Linked DNA regions of Canis lupus familiaris. The protein of the gene in region 1 purifies or fractionates together with the protein of each later gene. This does not show direct contact. Links are inferred from orthologs where the notes say so. Each region holds a gene or a part of one and is shown in the gene's direction. Other genes may lie near its edges.

Evidence for each region. Proteins that work in one complex are often made in the same cells at the same time.
Region 2: the proteins of POLR2G (region 1) and RPRD2 purify together in Homo sapiens (affinity purification with mass spectrometry; 3 studies listed by BioGRID and IntAct, counting the BioPlex papers as one, with this or other methods). This does not show direct contact. The link is inferred for Canis lupus familiaris from reciprocal best matches to the Homo sapiens genes POLR2G and RPRD2.
Region 3: the proteins of POLR2G (region 1) and MED1 purify together in Homo sapiens (affinity purification with mass spectrometry; 3 studies listed by BioGRID and IntAct, with this or other methods). This does not show direct contact. The link is inferred for Canis lupus familiaris from reciprocal best matches to the Homo sapiens genes POLR2G and MED1.
Region 4: the proteins of POLR2G (region 1) and GPN3 purify together in Homo sapiens (affinity purification with mass spectrometry; 3 studies listed by BioGRID and IntAct, counting the BioPlex papers as one, with this or other methods). This does not show direct contact. The link is inferred for Canis lupus familiaris from reciprocal best matches to the Homo sapiens genes POLR2G and GPN3.

Annotation. Positions count from the first base shown.
Region 1 is NC_049239.1:54,436,052-54,441,854, reverse strand, and holds the start of POLR2G (DNA-directed RNA polymerase II subunit RPB7), read left to right. Parts: upstream 1-2,484; 5' UTR 2,485-2,686; coding exon 2,687-2,698; intron 2,699-2,817; coding exon 2,818-2,927; intron 2,928-3,882; coding exon 3,883-4,042; intron 4,043-4,775; coding exon 4,776-4,826; intron 4,827-4,921; coding exon 4,922-4,987; intron 4,988-5,083; coding exon 5,084-5,155; intron 5,156-5,352; coding exon 5,353-5,386; intron 5,387-5,601; coding exon 5,602-5,615; 3' UTR 5,616-5,803. UniProt on the Homo sapiens protein: Core component of RNA polymerase II (Pol II), a DNA-dependent RNA polymerase which synthesizes mRNA precursors and many functional non-coding RNAs using the four ribonucleoside triphosphates as substrates.
Region 2 is NC_049238.1:60,241,927-60,247,882, forward strand, and holds the start of RPRD2 (regulation of nuclear pre-mRNA domain-containing protein 2), read left to right. Parts: upstream 1-2,623; coding exon 2,624-2,828; intron 2,829-5,956.
Region 3 is NC_049230.1:22,938,850-22,944,802, forward strand, and holds the start of MED1 (mediator of RNA polymerase II transcription subunit 1), read left to right. Parts: upstream 1-2,620; 5' UTR 2,621-2,835; coding exon 2,836-2,860; intron 2,861-4,922; coding exon 4,923-5,029; intron 5,030-5,953. UniProt on the Homo sapiens protein: Component of the Mediator complex, a coactivator involved in the regulated transcription of nearly all RNA polymerase II-dependent genes.
Region 4 is NC_049247.1:8,519,641-8,525,755, reverse strand, and holds the start of GPN3 (GPN-loop GTPase 3), read left to right. Parts: upstream 1-2,782; 5' UTR 2,783-3,342; coding exon 3,343-3,390; intron 3,391-3,659; exon of another isoform or gene 3,660-3,796; intron 3,797-4,416; coding exon 4,417-4,525; intron 4,526-6,115. Other genes in the region: protein FAM216A, read right to left, coding at 811-851, 2,486-2,577. UniProt on the Homo sapiens protein: Small GTPase required for proper localization of RNA polymerase II (RNAPII). May act at an RNAP assembly step prior to nuclear import.

The DNA of each region.
Region 1 (5,803 bases):
TTTCTATCCTATCTTGTCTCTCTCTGACCTTGAAGCTTTGGAAGCAAAGAGATCAAGGCTTGGAGAAAATTTATCATGGCCACCCCATGCCTGGGGAGCTCAGAGACAGAAAGGGTTCAGCCACTCTTGGCTGACAAAATCCAAAGGCAGAGAAACAAGTGGTGGTGAAACAAGAAAGGAATTTATTTCAGGGAGACCAACACTGGGGAAATTAATTAGCATCTCAAAGACTGTCTCCAAAGTGCTGAAAATACCCCTAGGTTTATACAAGGAAAATGCTGGGCAAAGGTGGGTGCGTATGGGCAGGTAGGTGGAGGTTAAATGGATCATTGTCTTGCAGGCAATTGTGGGTGGGGTTTTGCTGGCTCAGGACTGTCCTTTCTGCTTGAGGGGTAGTTTTGGTTTCCCTCTAGAGATGGTTTGCCCTCAGGGTCTCTGCAGGAGCCCAGAGACTAGCTGGAATGAAGAACTCAACAAAGTTTGAGGTCAAAATGGAGGCAGCCAAAGCCCTCTTGTACCCTGGGAAGCCATTAGGTTCTAAGATGGGGAGTGACATGATTCAACTTGAATTTTGAATACATTACTCTTGGCAAATAAAGATACAAAAAGATGTTCAATATTATTAGTCATTAGGGAAGTGAAAGTTAAAACTACAATGAGATACTACTACACAGTAGATAGAATAGGTAAATAAACCCTGCTAACAATACCAAGTGCTGGGGGATCCCTGGGTGGCGCAGCGGTTTGGCGCCTGCCTTTGGCCCAGGGCGCGATCCTGGAGACCCGGGATCGAATCCCACATCGGTCTCCCGGTGCATGGAGCCTGCTTCTCCCTCTGCCTGTGTCTCTGCCTCCCTCTCTCTCTCTCTCTCTCTCGAATAAATAAATAAAATATTAAAAAAAAAGTACCGAGTGCTGGTGAGGCTACCGGAGTAACCGGAAGTCTTATACCTGCATATGCAATTATATTTTACCATACCACAGAGGCACAATAGGTGTAAAGAGCATTGATAATAGTAAACTGTGGTAAAATAATTAGGAAGAGATGAAGTTAAGATTTTATTTTACTTTTTTAAGAAGTCTCTCTATGTGGGGCTCAAACTCCCAACCCCAAGATCAAGAGTCATATGCTGTACCAACTGAGCCAGCAATGCACCCCAGGAGGTGATGGCTCTTGTAGCTGGTTCTAGCACACCACTGTCCTTAAGATTGCCTTTAAGGGGAGGATGGCTGGGAAAGAAGAGAGGAAAAGTCAGGACTGCTGAGGCCCATTCATCTGCTTCCTTGCCTGATCTTTCTTTTTTTAAGATTTTATTTATTTATTCATGAAAGACACAGAGAGAGAGAGGGGCAGAGAGAGAGAAGCAGGCTCCACGCAGGAAGCCCGATGTGGGACTCCATCCTGGGACTCCAGGAACTCGCCCTGGGCGCCCCCAGCAGGGGCCAAACCGCTGAGCCACCCAGGGATCTCCTTGCCTGATCCTTCAAAAGGGATCCCCATGGAGTTTTAGTGGCAGACTGGTGGGATCAACTATTCCAGGAAATGGACAGTGTCCATACGAACTGGTATGTGACAGTTCTGAGGAAGCAGACGTGAAGTGTCTGTTCTTGCTGTAGGGTGGGTCAGGATCTTTTATTTACAACATAAAAAAAAAAAAAAAACCACCATAAAAACCTTACTCAGGCAACTGGGAGTTTGCTCAAAGCCTTAAGGATTGTCCGGCTCTTAAAAAAAAAAAGAAAAAAGGATTGTCCGGCTCTAGAACCAGCTGCCCTGGCTGAGCCTTACTCATGGGTCTGTCTCATGGTTTCTGCCTCTTTCTGCATGGCCCTTTTATCAGTCAGTCTCAACAGGGAATAGATTGCATTATCACTCCGGTTAATTGAGGGGAGTTTAGCAAAGCGACTGTCTACAAAAAAGTGGGCAGAGTTGAGGGAACAAACCAATCAATTCTCTAAGCCCCCCATGCGTGTGTGTCAGCGGGTTGGGGGGAAACGGGAAAGAGGAGTGCAGTGACTTGGTTTCTCACACCGGAGGGAGGACTGACTCCTGGGCTCTGATTTTGGCTGCTTCATCTCCTAACTACCTGCAGCAAGGAGTGGGGTGCTCCATTTTATTGAACAAATGACTGCATGAAAATCTGGAATGTCCAAATACGCAAGGGTCTTGGAGGTCAGACACTGCACATTTGAATCGTGACCCTCAAGTGACCTCAACTCTCTGAGCCTGGTCCCTCATTTGTAAAGCTTGCCTAGTGGTGTTGCTATGTACATGAAATGAGATAAAGACAGCTCCTTACGATGCTTACTATGTGAAGGCAGCCTTCAAATATTTGCCACACGAATGCGTTCTGCTAAAGCACTGTATTCACGTTGTCTTTTATTAGCTAATTAATTCCGTTTAACAGTATATCGCGCATCCCTCCTAGGCCAGGAAACTGTTCATTTAGAAGAGCCAGCATTTGCGCCGCAGAGGACCTGGGCCGGAAGGGCGGGGCCTCACCGATTTCCCGCCCACGACAGCGATGACCAATTGGGTCCGCGAAGGGAGCGGAGTCCCGCCCACTTGGCGGGGACAGGCCCGGAAGCAGGGTTCCGGGGGCGGTGCGTGTTTCCGGTTGCGTGAGAACCGCGGCTACCACCGAGGCAGTTTGGGTTTGGCTGCTGTCCGGTCCCGGCTGGGAGGATGTTCTATCACGTACGCGGAGCACGGGGTGGCCGCGAGGGCAGGGTTAAGAGGAGGAGCGAAGCGGGGCTCCGGGACGAGGAGATGCTGTTCCTCGTCCTTGCTTGGTCTCCATGCCGCTTTCCCCGCAGATCTCCCTGGAGCACGAGATCCTGCTGCACCCGCGCTATTTCGGCCCCAACCTGCTCAACACGGTCAAGCAGAAGCTCTTCACCGAGGTGGAGGGGACCTGCACCGGCAAGTGAGTCCCGAGTGCTTCGCGCCGCCTGATCTGCAGCCTCTACCCAACTCCTACTCATCCTGCAAGCACCTGCCACCTGCCCCCTGCCCCGGGGAACCCTCTCACCCTCTCAGGCACCCGAGGCAGTCACTTGCTTCCGGCCTGGGTTCCCGAGGTGCCCTCTGGATCGCGAGACTTACTTCAGCAGAGACTGGTCATTCGTTTACTCCGCAGACTTTTTTTTTTTTTTTTTAAGATTTTATTTATTTATTCATGATAGAGAGAGAGGCAGAGACAGAGACACAGGCAGAGGGAGAAGCAGGCTCCATGCAGGGAGCCTGATGTAAGACTCGATCCCGGGATTCCGAGATCACACCCTGAGCCGAAGGCAGGCGCTAAACCGCTGAGCCACCCAGGGATCTCTGGGAATCTGTGTTTTAAGAAGTTCCTCTTAGGTGATTCTGAGGCATCCTCAAGATTGAAGTCTCTTGGCTTAAGGACTGCAGTCTCCTTGGACATTTATTGTGAAACATGAGAGCAGTGTTTGGCATTATAGATACTGATCGGGGATCCCTGGGTGGCGCAGCAGTTTGGCGCCTGCCTTTGGCCCAGGGCGCGGTCCTGGAGACCCGGGATCGAATCCCACGTCGGGCTCCCGGTGCATGGAGCCTGCTTCTCCCTCTGCCTGTGTCTCTGCCTCTCTCTCTCTCTCTCTGTGTGTGTGACTATCATAAATAAATAAAAATTAAAAAAAAAGTTATAGATACTGATCTGTATTCTTCTCCCAACATGAAGTTCTGTGGGCAGGGGTGCCATCTATTTCCCTTTGTGCCGTCCCCTGACCCCCATCATCACTGATTTGTTGTAGATGATTTTATTTTTTTTTATTTTTTATTTTTTTGTTTTTTTTTTGTTGTAGATGATTTTAGAGGCTCTTGCACACACGATGCCTTTCTTTTTTTCATCCTCCTTACAGGTATGGCTTTGTAATTGCTGTCACCACCATTGACAATATTGGTGCTGGTGTGATCCAGCCAGGCCGAGGGTTTGTCCTTTATCCAGTTAAGTACAAGGCCATTGTTTTCCGGCCCTTTAAAGGGGAGGTCGTGGATGCTGTTGTCACTCAAGTCAACAAGGTGAGTCCATACATAGTGGAGGCAGTTGGGTGGCTGCTCAGAAGATGGGGGATGGGTCCCAACTGCTCTTGCTAACTCTGTGTCCTTGGGTAAGTCACTTTTGCTTCAGTTTCTACACCTGTCAAATGGTGCAGAAACCTCCCTTGGGGTCCTGTAAGTCAGTATGAGTTGTCAGCAATAGTAGTCTCCATTCATTGAATACTTATTATGGGTTGGGTAAGGTCCAAAACCTAACGGTGACTAAGGTCATGCTTTTATCCATTTTTATAGAAGCTTACGCCTGGAGAAGTTAGAAGTTGTCTAATGGCCAAGGTCATGTGATCAACAGGTGGTCAGATTGTGGACCGACAAGTGCCAGGCCTTGGCTCTTTAGTGCACTGTATTTGCGTAACTTGAAATGAAATCTCAGCAGAAGAGACATGAAAGCAAATGATACAATTCAGAGTGGATTCAAAATATGAAGAATATTATTAGGAATTAGATAAAGTTGGGAAGCTTAGGTGAATTTGAGGATAAAAGAAAAAGCAAAGTCGAGGTGCCTGCCTGGGTGGCTCAGTCGGTTAAGCAGCCGCCTTCGGCTCAGGTCATGATCCTGGGATGGAGCCCCGCAGCCAGCTCCCTGCTCAGCAGGAATCTACTTCTCCCTTTCACTGTCTATACACGTTTGCTCTCTCTCTCTCTCAAATAAATAAAAATTTAAAAAGAAAAACAAAGTCCCCCATTGTCCTCTTAGGTTGGACTTTTCACAGAAATTGGACCAATGTCCTGCTTCATTTCTCGACATGTAAGTCTGGGCGTGCTGGGGGTGCTAAGGAGAGAAGCCAGTCATGACTCTCTCTGGAAGCACTCCTGTAAAGCTCTGTCTTGCTTTCCTTTCAGTCCATCCCATCAGAGATGGAGTTTGACCCCAACTCCAACCCACCATGTTATAAGACAATGGATGAGGTGAGTGGGGAAGAAGTCCATGAGAAGGACGAAGAATGAGCCCTCCAAGAAATTTTGGCTTGTAGGTATCTGAGTATCCTGTTTACTCTTCCTCAGGACATTGTGATTCAGCAGGATGATGAGATCCGCTTGAAGATTGTGGGGACCCGTGTGGACAAGAATGACATTGTGAGTCTCTTGCCTACCTTCTTACCTGTACCAGGCAGAGCTGGCAGCTGTTGATTTTCTTACCATGCAGGGTTCCTGGGGGTTTTGTTTTCTTCTGCCAGGAAGAGGGGATGGGTGAGCAGAAGGCCTGGGGCTGGGCTAGAAGTTAGTTCTATGCTTGCTTAGGCTCTGTTTCCTTTCTGCCTTCCCTCCTGCAGTTTGCTATTGGCTCTCTGATGGACGATTACTTGGGTGAGTGCCTGATCGTGTGTCCAGGGTTGTTGCCTAGAAAGGGGTGTGTGGAGGCAGGGGGTGGATGTGGGACTTAATGCTCGAGTCACAGATGAAAGAAACTCTTATGACTGTCTGCTTGGAAGATCGGGACCTGTGCCTCATGAGATGGGAAGTGCATGGTGATGGCTGCCCCGAGCCTGAGCCTAACTGGTGTGCTTTTCCTGTCCTTACAGGGCTTGTGAGCTGAGCACCGGGGCCTCCTGCTCTGTTTGGTCCTCATCTAGGAGCTGTGACGGTCATGCTCCGCATATCGTCCAGAAGCCTAGTCTGGTTGCTGTGGGGAGGCAGAGAAGGTTCCTTGTCCACAGAAAATATCTCGTTCTTCTTGATGCTTAGCCACTCCCCAGGTTTTTGACTGTACATTCTAACCATAAA
Region 2 (5,956 bases), on another chromosome or scaffold:
TTTATTTATTTTTTAATGAGAGACAGACACAGGCAGAGGGAGAAGCAGGCTCTACGCAGGGAGCCTGATGCGGACTCGATCCTGGGACTCCATCCTAAGACCCCAGGATCAGGCCTCGAGCCAAAGGCAGACACTTTGATCGCTGAGCCACCTAGGTGTCCCCATGAGCAATTCTTTCGACTCTCTACCTTCAAAATATATCCAGGATCTGACACCATTTCTCATTATCTTTTTGCTACCACTTTTGTACAATCCATCATTTCCTTGTCTGGATTATTCCAATAGCCTCCTTGACTGGTGGCTCTTAAATCTGTTTTCAACATTGCAACCAGTTAAAAAATTACACGGCCTTGTAACTTCTCTCTTTTTAAAAAGATTTTATTTATTTATTCATGAAAGACACAGAGACAGGCAGAGACACAGGCAGAGGGAGAAGCAGGCTCCATGCACTCCATGCAGGGACCCCAATGTGGGACTCGATCCCGCGACTCCAGGACCATATCCTGGGCTGCAGGCAGACACTCAACCGCTGAGCCACCCAGGGATCCGATCCCCGCGTTGTTACTTTTCTTAAAACTCCACTGCTTAAAGGGTCTCCCCATCTCCAACTTAAAAGCCAAAATCCTTACAGTGGCCTGCAAGGTCTTACACGAACTCTCCCTCTTCACCTCAGACCTCATATTCTGCTACTTGTGCCCCTTCTTACTCTTTCCCAGGCACACTAGTCTCCTTTTTCTTCCTCAAATATGTCAAGATATAGTTTTAAGTCCTTTGCCCTTGGCTGTTCCTTCTGCCAGCTGCTGTTCCTTCTTCTCTCCCTTCCCCATACCTGGTTGGTTATCTTATTCTCAGCGTTCAGATATTGTCATTTCCTTCCAGAAGCCTTGCTGGATCACCAAACCATTTCCCTTCCCATATAGGCTCACACACACAATATCCTCTCTCTTCCTTACACTGCTTCAGAATTCTTCATAGAACTTGTTACTTCCTGATACATATTTGCTTATGGCCTCCTGCAACTAAGCACCACAGGGAGATTTTTGTTTTGCTGTTATACTTACCAATGTCTAGAACTGTACTTGACACAAAACATTCAAGAACTTTTATCTGAATGAATGAATGAATGAATGAATGAATGAATACTAGAGATGAGCTTCACAAAACATGTTCCTTGCCTCAAGAAGCGATGAATCCATCGGGGAGAGGTAAAAGACTTAAATAATTGCATGTGCTCAGTGGAACACATGAGCCTCCAAATCTGTCCAGAGGATTTACATAGGCAGATACGATGGAATTGTTCATCCAGGTTGTGCCTATCAATAGAATAGCCAGGACTCTTGTAAACTATAATGTATTATGCCATAGTGACCGGCGAAGGTGAGATCACATCTTGCTTTTTATTCTTTCCTCGTCTCGAAAATTTTGCTAGGAAATTTTTCGCTTCACTTACTTCCTCTTACCACATCTAAAGAACCTACTGGCTATGAATGGTATCGTCCAAGGGGAGTGTAAAATATTGTTTGGTCTGGGAGTCTGCGTAGTGAACGGCTCACTGGAGCTGGCGCATGCGCACCTTTTGAGACACTGCAAGATGGCTGCCAGCCACTTTGTCGCGCGTCGGTGCCCCAAGGAGTTAGCGGCGGCGGCGGCAGCTACCAGAAAGTAACAGTAACCTCTGAGCGGTGGGAATTTCCCGGCCTGTTGTGGGAGCTGGACAGCCCCAAGAGGGGGACCTCGCTAGGAAGTTAAGGGCAGGACAGAGCGGTGAAGCCCCTCCCCCAACCTCTCCTAAGTTTGACCAATTCCCTCACCCTTCCTCCGGTTTTTCCTCCTAGCCCGCTACACGCCGGTCTGCTGCGCAGGCGCACAAATAATCGTAGCGCCTCCTTGGTCCTTGGGACTTGCAGCCTTCTGCGCGCGCTTCTCGTTCTTGTCCTTTGATTGGCCAGGCCGCCCCGCCATCACGCCTCCTCCGCTTTCTAGGTTGTGAAGGAAGCGGGGAGGCGGGGCGAAGCAGCGCGTGCGCGATACTGTTGCTGTCCCTTTGCTGCTATTGCGTTGCAAAAAAAAAAATCCTGACTAGGTAGCCTTGGGCCTTTTCTGTGCTAGAGGACCTAAAGGAGAAAGATTCTGCAACTGAAGGGGCAATCGGATAGTATTAAATTTAAGGTATTAACGCCTACCCTTACAGGAGTGTGGCGATAGGAGTGGGGACGAGCCTTAGCTTTGAGAGCTGAAGAGTGTAAAACCATTAGTTTCGGGGCCAGGCGTTTTGAAAGGCTTTGCAGGATCTGTTTTCTGCGCAATTCTTCCGTGACTATTGACTGGTTTAAACACAACCCCTTGAACAATTCTGATAAACCTTCGATGCCCGCAGCCCCTCCTTACAGCGTGTAGGAGTCACCAGCGTGCCCAGCAGCTGGTCCTCCCCACCTACCTCCAGAAGAGCCTAGCGCGTGTACCCTCCCCACCCCCTGACCTCCCTCCCCACCTGCGGCTTTCACGCACTCGCAGTGATTGTTTTGCCCGCTCCGGCTCCCGCTCCCGCCGCCGCCGCCGCCCCGCCGCCGCCGCCGCCGCCGCCGCCGCCAGAGGAGCAGCAGCGCTTGTGCAAACCGGGAAGATGGCGGCCGGCGGCGGCGGAGGCAGCAGTAAGGCCTCCTCCTCGTCGGCCTCTTCGGCAGGGGCTCTGGAGTCCTCGTTGGATCGAAAATTCCAGTCGGTAACTAACACCATGGAATCTATTCAAGGCTTGTCGTCCTGGTGTATAGAGAACAAGAAACACCACACTACTATCGTCTACCATTGGATGAAGTGGCTCCGGAGATGTGAGTGTCGGGGGTGACTAGGGAAGGGGAGACTGGGGAAATGGGAGGAAATCCTTCCCGAAACGCCTGGGGTTTTCCCTCGGAGCCACTGCATTCGGTTGGCCTTGTTCACATTAAAGCTTTGACGCGAGTGTTCCCAAACCCAGACTCCATTCCTAGGTAGGGTTGTCCTGAGCTGCAGGAGGCTCATCGTTTCTTGAATTTTTTTTTTATCAGCTACTTAACTGACTTGGTGTGTGTGACCTTGGGCCGTTGGGCCCAGATCTTTAGAAATTTAGGTATTATTTCATTTCAGAGCCTTTTAAGGTGCTGTTCTCTTTAGTGAACCTTCGCGGAAATTATCGCGTCCGTTTATTTCACAGAGGCCTTGACGTGCTAATTTCTGGTTTTCTTGATGATGGACAAGCTATGGTTCAAGCAATAGCAGAGCCACTCACTTGGTTGGAATATTTTGGACCGCTCTGTTTTACGCTGACCTAAAACTCGTGGTGTTATAGGAAGGGCCTTACTTGGATGAATGTTACGAAGTAACAGGAGCTCTACTTAGAACTGAGCCGACCACCTGGGAGGTTTCCTTGTACCTGAGTTTGCTGCAATCAAATAAATACGGGCTTCTTGATACTGGCCAGAAATAACTGTAGTCGGTATCATCATTAGTACCTTAGAATGAAAACATGTCCAGCTACTTTTCAGTCACTTGAAATACCTTTTTAAAGAAATGGGTTTGCCTTCAGAGGTAAAACAGGAAATCAGGAAATGGGCTTTTTGACTGTATAGTACTCCCCCCCCCCCCAAGTTACTGCTTTTTTGTATCCATCAGAGATTTTTTTCCACTTTGCTTCTTTACTACAGAAAGGAGGTATAGTAAACTGTCAGGAAGCAGGGATTGTTTCCAAAACATTTCAAATCTCTTTGCAGTAAGTGTTGGAAAAATCATTGTTGTTTCCTGCTGAGAAGAGGGGTTAACCCTAAATCCATATATATCTATTTGACTTTAAGGTCTTTTGTTGCTTCTTGCCTATGGCATGTTACCAGTGAGACCCATCATCCAGTTACTCTTCTTATTCCACTTCTACCATTGTCTTTGTAATGTTTTGATTTGTGTGTCTTGGGGAACAGATGGATAAAACTTACAAAATCATAGGCCCCAATCTTCAAACTATTTGTGTATATAAAGTTATTATTGGTGGAGATGTTTTGTGCCACTTTGAATATATGCTGAAAAGATTGTAGGACCAAGACAAGATTACCTATATTTACTTTCCAAGAAGCAAAATTAGAACATACAATATAGGCAGCCTGGGTGGCTCAGCCGTTGAGCCCCTCCCATCAGCCCAGAGCGTGATTCTGGAGTCCCGGGATCTAGTCCCGCATCGGGCTCCCTGCGAGGAGCCTACTTCTCCTTTTTTTAAAAAAAGGAAAAGAACATACAATATAAAATACGGTAACAGTCATTAAAGGCTCACATATTAAGTATCTGTTATGTGTATTGCCATTTACAATATATCTATTTCATTATATTTTAAAATAACTCTAAGAGGTAGATTTTTAAATTTTTTATCTTTCTTTAAAGATTTTATTTTATTATTATTATATTATTTTATTATTTTATTTTATTATTATTTTTTAAAGATTTTATTTATTTATTCATGAGAGAGAGAGGCAGAGACACATGCAGAGGGGGAAACAAGCTCCATGCAGGTAGCCCGATGTGGGATTCGATCCCAGGACTCCAGGATCATGCCCTGGGCTGAAGGCAGGCGCTAAACCGCTGCGCCACCCAGGGATCCCTAAAGATTTTATTGATTTGAGTGAGAGCACTAGTGGAAGAGGTATGGGGGGGGCAAGAGAGAGAATTTCAAGCAGACTCTCCTCCCCTCCCCCCCATGGGGCTCCATCCCAGGATACTGGGATCCTGACCTGAGCTGAAGGCAGCCACTTAACCATCTGAGCAACCCAGGCACCAGAGGTAGATTTTTAATTTTTATTTTTTTAAATTATTTTTTAAGATTTTATTTCTTTATTCATGAGAGACATAGAGAGAGGCAGAGAGATAGGCAGAGGGAGAAGCAGGCTCCCTATGGGGAGGGGAGCCTGATGCGGGACTCAATCCCAGGACACTGGGATCAGGACCTGAGCCCAAGGTAGATGTTCAACGACTGAGCCACCCAGGCGCCCCCAGAGGTAGATTTTTTAAATCATTGATTTACAGGTGAGGAAACTAAGGCCCAGAAATGTTAGGTAAATTGTTTAAGGTTACACAGAAAAAGGGTGAAGTTAGGATTTGACTCCACCATATCAGATGACAGTGACCACATTTAACTTTGTAATCATGGTTTCAAGATTAAAAAAAAAGAAAAGATTGTTCTTTAATGTGCTTGACACACTAGTGGTAGCAAATGCTCCTGTGAGTCTGAGAACATGCTCTCTCTCTCTCTCTCTCTCTTTTTTTTAAAACATTAGTACTAAATTATACAAACATTTAATGTTTCCTACCTTTGAGTTCTGGTGCTTTAACTGTATGGTTACATCATTTGCAAGACTGAGTTGGTCCCTGTACCTGTCTTGTGGGATTTCATATGACAATTAGAGTTTTTTTCTAGTTAGCAGTAAGAGATGAGCCAGAAGTTTTCTGCCTCTACTATTGTTGATATCTTGCCTGAGCTTATTTCCCTTGTATTGATATCTTGAGTGAAAAAGTGATTGCTGTAGTTAGATAATACTTCATTTTGAAGTGCATTATATATAATTTGTATAGGTAAATGCATTAGGCTTTCTAAAAACTTGATTCTTTTTTTTCCTTAGTGGAATAGAACTTCCTAAACTGTTAAGAGTTATTTGTAGTCATTTTGTCTTTACATTTAATGAACATCTATCTCAGGGTAAATAAAGCCTTTTGAGATAAAATTTCAGGAGAGTGATGAAGGGCACAGTGAAAATAGTTTATGCATTAAGCCTCATTTAGTTTCATATTTCTTTACAGTTGGGATTATTTTAGTTTGAGTTTGGTTTCTAAGTCAGCTTTAGGCAAGTTTGTGAAGGAGGTCTCTCTTATGGTCCCAGACTTTGTCGTTTTCCTAATGTCACTTTGCCTCTCTTTTTTGTTCTGGCATCCATTACTTAGGAAT
Region 3 (5,953 bases), on another chromosome or scaffold:
GTACTTAATACATTTCAATGTATTACGCATTAATACTTTTAATTACTATTAAGTAATAGCAATGAAAGTGCTTTTTTTTTTAAGATTTTATTTATGTATTCATGAGAAACAGAGAGACAGAGAGGCAGAGACAAAGGCAGAGGGAGAAGCAGGCTCCATTCCATGCAGGGAGCCTGACATGGGACTCGATCCCGGGTCTCCAGGATCACACCCTGGGCTGAAGGCAACCCTAAATCGCTCAGCCACCCAGGCTGCCCTGAAAATGCTATTAAAGAGAAGTTGGAGGAACACCTGAGTGGTTTAGTTGATTAAGCATTGGACTCTTGATTTTGGCTCAGGTCATGAGCTCAGGGTCGGGACATCCAGCCCAGTGTTGGGCTCTGTGCTCAGCTTGGGGTCTGTTGCAGATTCTTTCTTCCTCTCTCTCTGCCTCTCCTCCCAACATTGAGCATGCATGCACACACACTCTCTCAAAAATAAAATAAAATCTTAAAAAAAAGAGAGAGAAATTTGAAATAATGTAACAGAGGACTTGATCAAGTCAGGGGTTAGAGAAGACTTCTTTATAGTCTAGAAGAAGACAATTAAATTGACATCTGAGGGATCCCTGAGTGGCGCAGCGGTTTAGCGCCTGCCTTTGGCCCAGGGCACGATCCTGGAGACCCGGGATTGAATCCCACGTCGGGCTCCTGGTACATGGAGCCTGCTTCTCCCTCTGCCTATGTCTCTGCCTCTCTCTCTCTCTCTCTCTGTGTGTGTGTGACTATTATAAATAAATAATAAAAAAAATTTTAAAAAAATTGACATCTGAATAAGAAGGCCTTAGTGAGGTGAAGGAGTCAGGTAGAGGAAGGACTCTCCCAGCAGTTAAAAAAGGCCTGTTCAAGGAACTTGGGAGGAGAATGCAGCAATTTTCTGCATGAGAAAGAAGGCTAGTATGGCTGGGAATTGGCAACGGGAGAGGTGGGTCTAGGAAGGGTTTTTTTTTTTTTTTCCCTAGGAAGGTTTTGTAGACCCAGTAAAACATTTGTCTACTGGGCTCCAGTACAGTAGTAGGTAAGCGGTGGAAATTCAGAAATGAAGGCAAAATCCTGCCCCCAAGAAACTCCCTATGTAGTGACTAAAGGAATGAGGGTAAAGAGGAAAAGATAAAGAATAAAATTTGAATTCTACTTCAGAGAGCATAGTTATAGATATCTTTGTGGTAGTAAATGTGTTCCCAGACGCTTCCAAAGATTTGTTCTTGGGATCCCTGGGTGGCGCAGCGGTTTGGCGCCTGCCTTTGGCCCAGGGCACGACCCTGGAGACCCAGGATCGAATCCCACGTCGGGCTCCCGCTGGATGGAGCCTGCTTCTCCCTCTGCCTGTGTCTCTGCCTCTCTCTCTCTGTGTGACTATCATAAAAACAAACAAACAAACAAAAAAAAACACAAAGATTTGTTCTTATTAAATTTACACTGCTGTGCCTGCTCACCTGAACTGCAGTTGTCTGCTGGAATGGCTTTGGAGGATGTTTGAATAGCATTTTTGAAATATGGAGAAATTCTGAGACTGAAAAGCCAGTAGAAATCCACTACTTAGTATCCTTACAGTGAACTAGGTAAAATCCAACTTTACAGCGGCTATTTTCAAAGATTTGTTTGGAAAAAGAACATTAAAAACAAAACAAAACAAAACCAAGCCTTAACTACGTCGAGAACTTCCACCAAATGCTAGTTTTGTATTTTAGCCTGGTCCTTCAGTTCCGGTGGCCATAAACTTCTCATCATTACTCCAAATTTCTCCACGTGAGGAGACAGGACTGCGCATTCTTTGTATTGTGGAGTACAAGCTAAACTGCTTGTTTTACTATGATTACCAGATAGGAACACTAGTAGTCATACACCTTAGTATATAATTAAAAGCATCCGATGCTCTGACTGCTACAAGTTTACCTTAATTTAAAACCTCCCAGATCTTAAAAAACAAAAAACAAAAAACCCCAAAACCAAAAAACCGTTATTGCGTGAGAAATATTTCTGAAATTTGAGGAAAAAATTGGGAAATGGGAATTAAGTGAATTGGGCTGGCTTGGAACGCTGTGTTACAAAGACCCAATACCATTTTCATGTTTCCACCTAGTATCTCAATAAAGCGTATTATCTTTTATTTTATATTATTTTATTTATTCACGAGAGACAGAGAGAGAGAGAGAGAGAGACAGAGACAGAGACACAGGCAGAGGGAGAAGTCGGCTCCATGCAGGGAGCCCGACATGGGACTCGATCCCAGGTCTCCAGGATCATGCCCCAGGCTGAAGACGGCGCTAAACCGCTGAGCCACCCGGGCTGCCCAGCGTATTATCTTCAACAAAATATTTCTGGTACCTATATTCTTTGAAATGCTAGTCAGTAAAGAGATCCCAGGATTTTAATTTACGAACTCCTTTGCCACTTGGAAGCGAGGTTGAGCGCCAGCAGACGGCAAACACGGTACTCGAGAGCAGTAAGTAAACCTTCAGGTGACCGAAAGCTAAGGGAAGGCGTGATTAGAAGAATCTCGCGAGAAGCACTGCATTCACTATTTTTCGCGATATTTTGGTGCCCAGCCTTTTTCCTATCTCTCGCAGGATCACGGTTAATCTCGCGATATTTGGGAAGTTCCGTTGGGAAGATGGCGGCGGCCGGGAGCGCCCTTCTCTTCTTGCCGCCGGGGACTTCAGACTGAGCCTTCCCGGGAAGAGTGGGGACGGTTGTTCCCCTGCCTCCCGGGAGCCCGAACCAACTTGGTTCCCTCGTTAGTGGTGGGGAAGGGTTTATCCTCTTGTGTAGGACTCAGGACCTCCCCACCGTCAGGATGAAGGCTCAGGGGGAAACCGAGGGTGAGTGACTTGAGGGGGAATGCAGGGGGCGGGACGCAGCTTGGGGGAGCCAATCTGTGAGAGGAGCTGGGGTGGGGGTGGCCCGATGCCTCTGCAGGGGCAACGCTCCTGAGGTCGTGGAGTCCAGGAGGCGGGATAGCTTCTGACTGTGCCTTCGTTGGTGATGCAAGGATCTGAGTCTCGGGTGATGGGGGCTCTCAACTTCTATGAAGGTTTCCTGCATAGCTAGGGACAATCACTTGGGCCTCGGAACGTTTTTAGCCTAAAGTTGATGGAAGACCAGGCGAGTGAATCTAAAACCTGCTTACACCTCGTTTCAGAAGAGATATCTGAATAATGACATTAAAAAAATACAGAGCTGTGTGTCAAATATCGGAGAATGTTTTGGCGTGAATGAAATGATTAGGACCTTATGATTTTAAAAGCTAGTAGTTCCATGGAACGTTACAATGTCCAGACTTACACTATTGTATGTTTATGAAATGCGTTGAATTTCATCCTTTCAATGGCTGGACTAACTCACAACTGCTGAAAAACAACTTTTCTGTGGAACCTTACTTAGATTCTCTAAAGTCCTACACTCTTAAATGCTTCCTTAGCATTTTGGATATAGTTTTGTTAATAAGGATCACTGTATTATGTTTACCCATCTTCTCCACTTTGAGCACCTTGTCTTACGCATCGTTGTGTAGTACCTGGCACAAAAAGTGTTTGATCATTCGTGTAAAGTATTTATCATCAGGCTTCTCAAGGAAAAGGGAGGGGAGTATTTTAAAGGAGAGGAAGAAAAAAGGTATACTCCTTGGGTGCAGAGGATTGGTGAATGTAAAATGGAAACTTGATGAGGCAGGAATTTTGTCTAGTTTGCTCATTTCTATATCCCCAGCACATAAAATCATGTGTGAATGAGTCTTGAAAGTGGGAATTGCCAACAATGTGTCCAGAACTGTAAGCTGGCTGAAACAGTCCCCAAACCGGTTTTCCAGAAGATGAGGACATTGGAGGAAGGAATTTGAATCTTGATTTAGAAAATGTCACTGCGTTAACTCTGATTGCTGAGATTATTTATCTTTCAATGCCAATATCAACTGTCACCTTTTCTGTAATCTCCCCACAACTAATAATGAGATTTTCCTTTTTTGTGTTTCAATTGTAATGTGTCTGTTTTTAACAGCATATCTCATTTTGCTTTCTGTGATGGTTATTTCCACGTTAACTTACGCACACCCCTTCACAGATACCATCTCAGGTGTATTGAGTTTTTGCATTGCCAGTGGTCTCTAGAACAGGTCCTAAGAAGTGTAAGAATTAGAGGAAGGATCACCTATATTTCAAAAGTAAAAAATTTAATAGAAATAAAGCTATAGTTCAGTAGTAAAATAACAAAAATTCAAAAATAAAAATTATAATTCAGTAATAAAAATTAGGAAGGCTGGAGAGCATAAGATCTTTGTTCACTCATAGCCCAGGAAACTGAGGACTTTTCCACCTTTCTCTTAGCTCTGCTAGAAGCTCATCCTTTAGTCATTGACATATTTCCTATCCATATAGTTTTAGTTTGAATTCAAACAGGAAAAATGAAAATGGCAAATACAGCCTATTTTCTTGATAATACTTCTGTATTGTTCTCTTAGAATTACATCAAAGTCTGCATTTCACATTGAAAACCAACTAACCAAAGTAAGGCCATGTTCAAATGTATGCTTTTCATATATCATGCAAGGGATTCATGCATATCATGAAATGATTTTGTCACTAACCCCAAAACAGTCTTGTAGTCTTGACCCCAAAACATGGTTAGAGGTGGTTCTTTTTTTGGTTTTCATTAAAAGACTGGATAGAAATCAGTTATGTTCTGTGGTGCTCATTAGTTTAGAACCCAATTTCTGTGTCATTTTGTTATTAAAAGTAAATAATTTGTATGTTTTGAAGTAAATGGTATTGAAAAATATTTCAACTGAGTTCTTACCAGGTTGAAGTGTGGGAGTTTCTTTTTGCAAGAAAGATTGTGGAAGGTCTGGAAAGGAAAGTTTCTAATAATGTTTTCTGATTTATATCGTAGAATCGGAGAAGCTGAGTAAGATGAGTTCTCTCTTGGAACGGCTCCATGCAAAATTTAACCAAAATAGACCTTGGAGTGAAACCATTAAGCTTGTGCGTCAAGTCATGGTGAGGATTAATGTAATGGATAAAGTGTTATGCTTAGATAATTATTTAATAAGCTAAGCTCCCTTTGTAAATTTTTTTCAAACTAGTTATTATAGGGTATCTCCTCAGCTTTTTTGAAAGAGAGAGAGGTGGGCAGGGAGTAGGTTGGGGGGTCGGTCAGAGGGAGAAGGAAAGAGAGACTCTTAAAGGACCCTGAGATCATGACCTGAGCCGAAATCAAGAGTCAGACCAACTGAGCCACCCAGGCACCTCAAGCCACTTGATTCTAACGAAATAGTATTTTCATTGTATATATACTTCTACTAGAGTTTGCAATTGATTTTTTTTTTTTAAGATTTTATTTATTTTTCATGAGAGAGAGAGAGAGAGAGAGAGGCAGAGACATAGACAGAAGGAGAAGCAGGCTCCATGCAGGGAGCCCGGGCCTCCAGGATCACGCCCTGGGCCGAAGGTAGGCGCCAAACTGCTGAGCCACCCTGGGATCCCACAATTGATTTTTTAAAATATTTATTTATTTTAGAGAGCTCAAGAGAGCATGAGTGCAGGGGGGAGGGGCAGAGGGAGAGGGAGAAGGACTCAAGCAGGCTCTGTGCTTGGGCTGAGATCACGGCCTGAGCCAAAACGAAGAGTTGGATGCTAAACTGACTGCCTCACACAGGCCTCCCTGGAGTTTGTGATTGATTCTTAATTAGCTTCACCTGTTCACTCTGTCTACCTTTTCCTCTATAGTACTGTTTTTTGAATCATTTGCCAGTATCAGGAGCCCTTAAGTGAAGACAGGGCATAGGAACTGGCTATTTAAAGTTCATCCATGATTCCAGTGGTAGTCAAATGATGCAGGAAAATTTAACTTCAATGATTTGACCTGGGCAGTGTTATATGGGTGTGTTCACTTTGTGATAATTCATAGATCTTTTCACTTAA
Region 4 (6,115 bases), on another chromosome or scaffold:
TAGATATGTGTCTGTATGTTTTTCTCAGGTACCTGTAAGGACTACAAATTTTCCAAGGAAAAGTTAAGTGAATCCAAGTTTATATATCACTGAATTGAAATAGCTCCCTGCCCCCAAAAAACTTAGAAGTTTCTGGGGGTTTGTCTTCCTTACTTGATTCCAGCAGCTCTATCCTTTATTTAAAATGAGAGGAAAAAGAGCAGCACTGAGAAATATTTTATGCTCTTTGAAGTTGTTCAAGTTAGAATTTTTCCCTTCAATATGTGTATAAACCCCAGGCTATACTCTGTTTTTCAAACATCAGTTATAAACAAAGTTATTTTCAGATTCATTGCTATTTTGAAGTACTTTTTAAAAAATGCTTGATGTAAAAAAAATAATAAAAAAATAAAATAAATAATAAAAAATTTAAAATAAAAATGCTTGATGTAAAATATCTCAACAAGAGAAAAAGAACCTGCTGAATTGTTCTTTGAAAAATCTTAAAGACTGGGACACCTGGGTGGCTCAGTGGTTGGGCGTCTGCCTTCGGCCCAGGGCATGATCCTGGAGTCCCAGGATCGAGTCCCACATCGGGCTCCCTGCATGGAGCCTGCTTCTCTCTCTGCCTCTGTCTCTGCCTCTCTCTGTGTGTGTCTCTCTTGAATGAATAAATCAAATCTTTAAAAAAAAAATCTTAAAAGACTTAAGTTCACCAGGATGCTAATAAAGTCTGTTTTTAAAACTCCACTGTGTTTGTAGTTACAGCAAAATTAGCATCTCTGAACCATATTATTTGTGGGTATTACCTGCTTTATATTCTCTACTTACCAATACCTTTGGAATTGTGATAATAAGAATGTCCAGCTGATCTGTTGAGGAAAAAAAGGACTTAAATAATATGCAATAATGGACAGCATTATAAGAATTAACAAAAGTATTTTAAATGAAAAAAGACAGTATTGCCTATGCTTTTTACTTTTCATGTTTCCATTAGATGGAGTATTTTGCAAATTTTCTCCTGTAATCCTGGTTATAGCCTAATGGCTCCAGGCTTTTTAAAAGTGAGTTATATGAGGTTTTTACCATACAAGAAGGGATTTACCTTAAGCCAGGTTTGGTTTTACTTTTATAGCCTCTTAATCTAATTCCTACATTGAGCTCAATAAAGTAGTTTGCGTCTCTGTGTTATCTGTGGTATTTTCTTGCTCACTTTATTTTTAATAAAGTAACCTGGATATGGAAAAGACTATCTTGTTCTTTACTGTATGTAACTAAGGTGTACTGGAACTGATAAATTGATCTGGAATGTTTTCATTTTTGACAAGTTCTTTTTTTCTTTTCTCAAATTAAGACAAAACACCCTTGCTTCCTGCTTCCTTAAATTTATTCAATGTCCAAGTGTCCATCGATACTAGGATCCAGCACTTTGTCAAGCACTGTAATGAACAGCAAAGACAAGAGTCTTTTAAGTCTTTGATGGGTGCCTGGGTGGCTCAGATGGTTAGTGGGTGATCCTTGATTTGGGCTCAGGTCCTGATCTCGGTGGTCCTGCTTGGGGCTCCACACTCAGACTTGAGGAGTCTGCTTGAGGATTCTCCCTCTCCCTTTGCCCCTCCCCTCTGCACGCACCCACTCTCTCTAAGACAAATAAATCATTTTTAAGAAGCCTTCAAACACTATATATATGTTTCATTCCCTATATATATTTCATATACATGATGTATATATGTATACATTTATGTATATACACATTCCATATGTATGAGTGTGTGGTGTGTGTGTGTGTGTGTGTGTATATACACACACACATATAAATAAATGGTCATGGGTGCAGCAGGAGCCATGACTGTGTGCTTTTGGAAAGGTACACCCTGAAGCTCTTTCAGGTAATAACTGATGGAAGGGATGAGAAGGTACTGAAGACTAATTGTCTTCAGCATCCAGGAACTATACTAAAAGAGCCTTCTCAAAATAAAATGGATTTATGAAGAAAAACTTCAGTGGGAAGAAAACATCAAGATCAACGTACCCGTAATATTCATAATTATCTGTCTCATCGTCATTATGAATCCCCTGGACATAAAAGTGGCCAACGTGACACCCACAGAACTGGTTTATTGACTTGGAAAGCCTCGTTCGAACCTGTTTCTGCCGTGCCCCCCAACCCCCTCTTTCTGTAGAGATCCTGTGGCCAGACGGCATTTTCCAGCAGGTTTCGCAGCGCCCCCTCGGGGCAGAAAGACGCACGCAGGCAACTGTCGCAGTCCCGGCGTTTAGTCATTGCACCAACGCTCGGCCTTACCTCACAGGCCCTTCCCGTAAACAGCGAGGCGGCTTCCATGTGTGCCACCCCGGCCACAACAGAGCTTCCCCCTTCCTCTCAGTTCAGCGCACTGGGGGGTCAGGCCACGGGAGCAGCCGGCTCCCACCCCCTCCTCCGCCGGGGACCACGACCTGGGCCGGTCGGCGTCCTCCCTCACCCCTCAGGGCCCCTCAGCCTCACCCGCCGCCGCCACCCTCGGTCCCGGCCACTGCGGTTGGGTCCGCGGAAGAGCCGCATGCCGTCCAGTCGGGCACCGGACACTGGCCGGGCATCTCCGCCCCGGCGCCCGGACCTCGAGCGGTGTGCGGAAGCAGCCTCCCCCTCTCCCCTCCCCCGGCAGCACGCGTGCGTCAGGCCGGGCGCTATTGGGGGTGCACCCGCGGACGCCGGATTCTAGCCCCCGCCGAGGCGCTCCGGGCACTGCCCGAACGGCTTCGGGAGAGCGGGGAGGGCAGAGACCAGACGCTGGAATTAGAGAGGGGAGGGGCAGGAACTCTCTAGAGGGTTGCGCGCTTGCACGTTTTGTGGAGGGGATGAGTCCTCTTCCACGGGAAGGAAACATACACGCCCTCTAAAACAGGAGGTGCCTTCCACCTCAGGATTCCCGGCCCTCTAACAGCTTTGCAAACGTTGGGTGTCGCCAGATAGGTGAGACGTTCGTACGCGAACCGAGGACCGAAGTCCGCGGCGCAGGGATGCGGAGTGCGAGCCGTTAGCCGTTATCTCCAAGGCAACCAAGCTTCTCCAGCGTCCCAACCGCCGATTTCCGCCACTACCTCCGCGCACACTCTAACCGCTGCCCGGTCCGCCCCGCCCACGCCGAAGTTTCCCGAGAACGGGTTTCACACGAGATTTGATCTGCGGGACGCTCCGTAGCCAGGGATGTAACAACGCAGGGCGCAAAAGGACTGTGGGTTGCTATTGGTGGTCACGTGGTGTTCCCGGAAGTCAGTGAGCGCCGCGCGAAGGCTGAAGGGAGCGGGCCGGTCGGGCTCCGTGAGGCGTGGCGGGCCCAGCCCGGCCCCAGGAGCGCCGGCATGCCTCGGTACGCGCAGCTGGTCATGGGCCCGGCAGGAAGCGGGAAGGTGAGGCTTTGGCGTTAGAACAGGAGAAAAGTCGGAGCTCGTGGGAGGCAGGGGGGCTGTGGTCCTGACGGAGGGACCGGCGGGTGCGTGCACGCGGACCCTTCGGCAGAGCGCTGCTGCAGTCTGGGCTTCGTCGCTCTTTGTTGCGATTTTGAAAGTGGGGAAAATAACAGTGGTGGCTAATGCTTAGAGTATACTTATGCCCCAGATACTGCGTTTAAACTCCTAACTTATTTCCAGAACAACGTTGTAGGATAGGTCTTGTTCTCATTTTTACGGATGGGAATTTTACAGAAAATGAGACACGGAAAGGTTAAGTTCTTTTCCCAAGATCACGCGGCTGGAATTTGAATCCAGTTGTGTGTAATCCCAGAATCCGCTCCTGTCTCGCTCATAGAAAGTTCAGGTGAGGTCTCATTAAGTCAGTTTCTCAGAGCTTGAAACATGGACTTCTGGTCTTTGAGGCGATTTTAGGAGGTACATGGCCTAACATTAGTGAACATTGGATCGTATATTGATTGAGCCCCATGTTGGGTGTAGAGAAAACCAGGGGTAAGGCTCCTGGCTGATTCATTTGGTGGAATGTGAGTCTTGATTGAGGTCAGTAAATTCTAGAGATCATAAATTGAGAAAATTACTCCCTTTTCAATTCTTTCAGTTTGCATTGAAGTGAAATTGTCAGTTTGACACCTGTGTATCTTTAATACTTTCTTTTTTTATGTTTGAGCCCCATGTTGGGTGTAGAGATTCCTTAAAAATAAAGTCTCTAGAAAAAAGAAGAGAAAAGTAGAGAAGCGCTTTCACTAAAGTTACTCTTGAGTCTCAGCCAGGTCTGGATCTACAGCCCAGTCAGATGTCCTGACTGCCAGCCTAGTACCTGTTTTCAGTCGGCTTTTTGATCAATGAAGGCATAATTTTGGCCTCAGTGGACACCGACCAAGGGATATAGGGTATCCATTTTGGGGGTGCAGGGGTAGCACTACACTGCCTATTGCTTTGACCCCATGATGCCTTGTGACATTACAGAGCACCTACTGTGCCACTATGGTCCAACACTGTGAAGCCCTCAATCGGTCTGTCCAAGTTGTGAACCTAGATCCTGCAGCAGAACACTTCAACTACTCCGTGATGGCTGGTGAGTCCTGAACAGAGCCTTCCCCCTCCTTCAGGAAAAATGAGGGGGTGGAGAGGCCATGAGTGCTGGCTGCTTGGTACAGAAGGTGAAAACTTAATTATTATAGTCTGCTCCCCTGCTTCATGATGAAATGTGTGACATTATCCTTTCTTCGTCTTAGTTTAAGAATTGAGTATCTTCCCTCATACCTCTTTTCTGTCCTTTTTTTCCCCACTTTTGTAAAATATTTTATTTATTCATTCATGAGAGGCAGAGACAAAGGTCCTCCATCCCAGGACCCTGGGATCACCCCCTGAGCCTAAGGCAGACGCTCAACCACCGAGCCACCCAGGCATCCCCCCTTCTGTCCTTCCATGCTTAGCCTGCTGTGGTGAATCGGGTTTACTGCAGGTCATAGTATTAGCGAGCAGCTTAACTGTTTGTTTGTTTTTAATTCTTTTAGAGGCGCCTCCTACCCTCTCTCTTGGGAAAAAAATTTAAAAAGAATTTTTTTAAATTTATGTTTCTTTAGAGGGAAAATCTTTTTTTTTTTTTAAGATTATATTTATTTATTCATGAGAATACACAGAGAGGAGAGAGAGAGAGAGAGAGAGAGGCAGAGACACAGGCAGAGGGAAAAGCAGGCTCCATGCAGGGAGCCTGACATGGGACTCGATCCCAGGTCTCCAGGATCATGCCCCGAGCTGTAGGCGACGCTAAACCGCTGAGCCACCAGGGCTGCCTGAGAGAGAGAATCTTAAGCAGGCTCCATGCCCTCCATGCCCAGTGTGGAGCCCAACATGGGGCTTGGTCTCAGAATGGTGAGGTCATACATAACCTGAGCCAAAATCAAGAGTTGGACACTTAACTGACTGAGCCACACAGGTGCCCCTAAAGTAAAATTCTTTCAATTTATTCATTCAGATGTCTTTTGAACACTTACTTTATGCCAGATGCCAAGGTTCTAGCAGAGAACAAGGCAGACATTATCCTTTCATTCATGGACCTTTTAGTGAGGAGATAAGCAAAATGATAAACATTAAAGATTGTGATAATGACTCCAAGTAGTCAATGAGAATGAATAACCTGGAGGTTGCTTTAGAAAGGGTAGTCACAGGAGGGAAGATTTGGGCCCAGACCCGAAGATAGTAATGGGCTTACCAAGCTGGGGAGTAGCCTTCCAAGATGAGGGAAATCAGGTCAATACATAGCCTAGAGATAGGAAGGGGTTTGGTATGTTCCAGAAAAAGCAAAAATATCAATGAGCTAGAGCATAATCAGTGAAGGAAAGTAGTGGGTAGGTGCTAGAAGGACATGAGAAGTTTGAGTTCTATTCTGTTTTCTTAGTCCATTTGAGCTGCCTTAACAAAATACCACAGACAGGGCAACTTGTAAACAACAGAAATATATTTTTTCATGGTTCTGGAGGTTGGAAATCCCAAGATCAGGGTGCCAGCATAGTCAGGTCTGGCGCGATCTCTTTTTTTATTTTATTTTATTTTATTTTATTTTATTTTATTTTATTTTATTTTATTTATTTTTATTTTTATTTTTATTTTATTTTATTTTTTAATTTTTTTTTTATTTTTTATTTTACTTTTAGGATTTTGC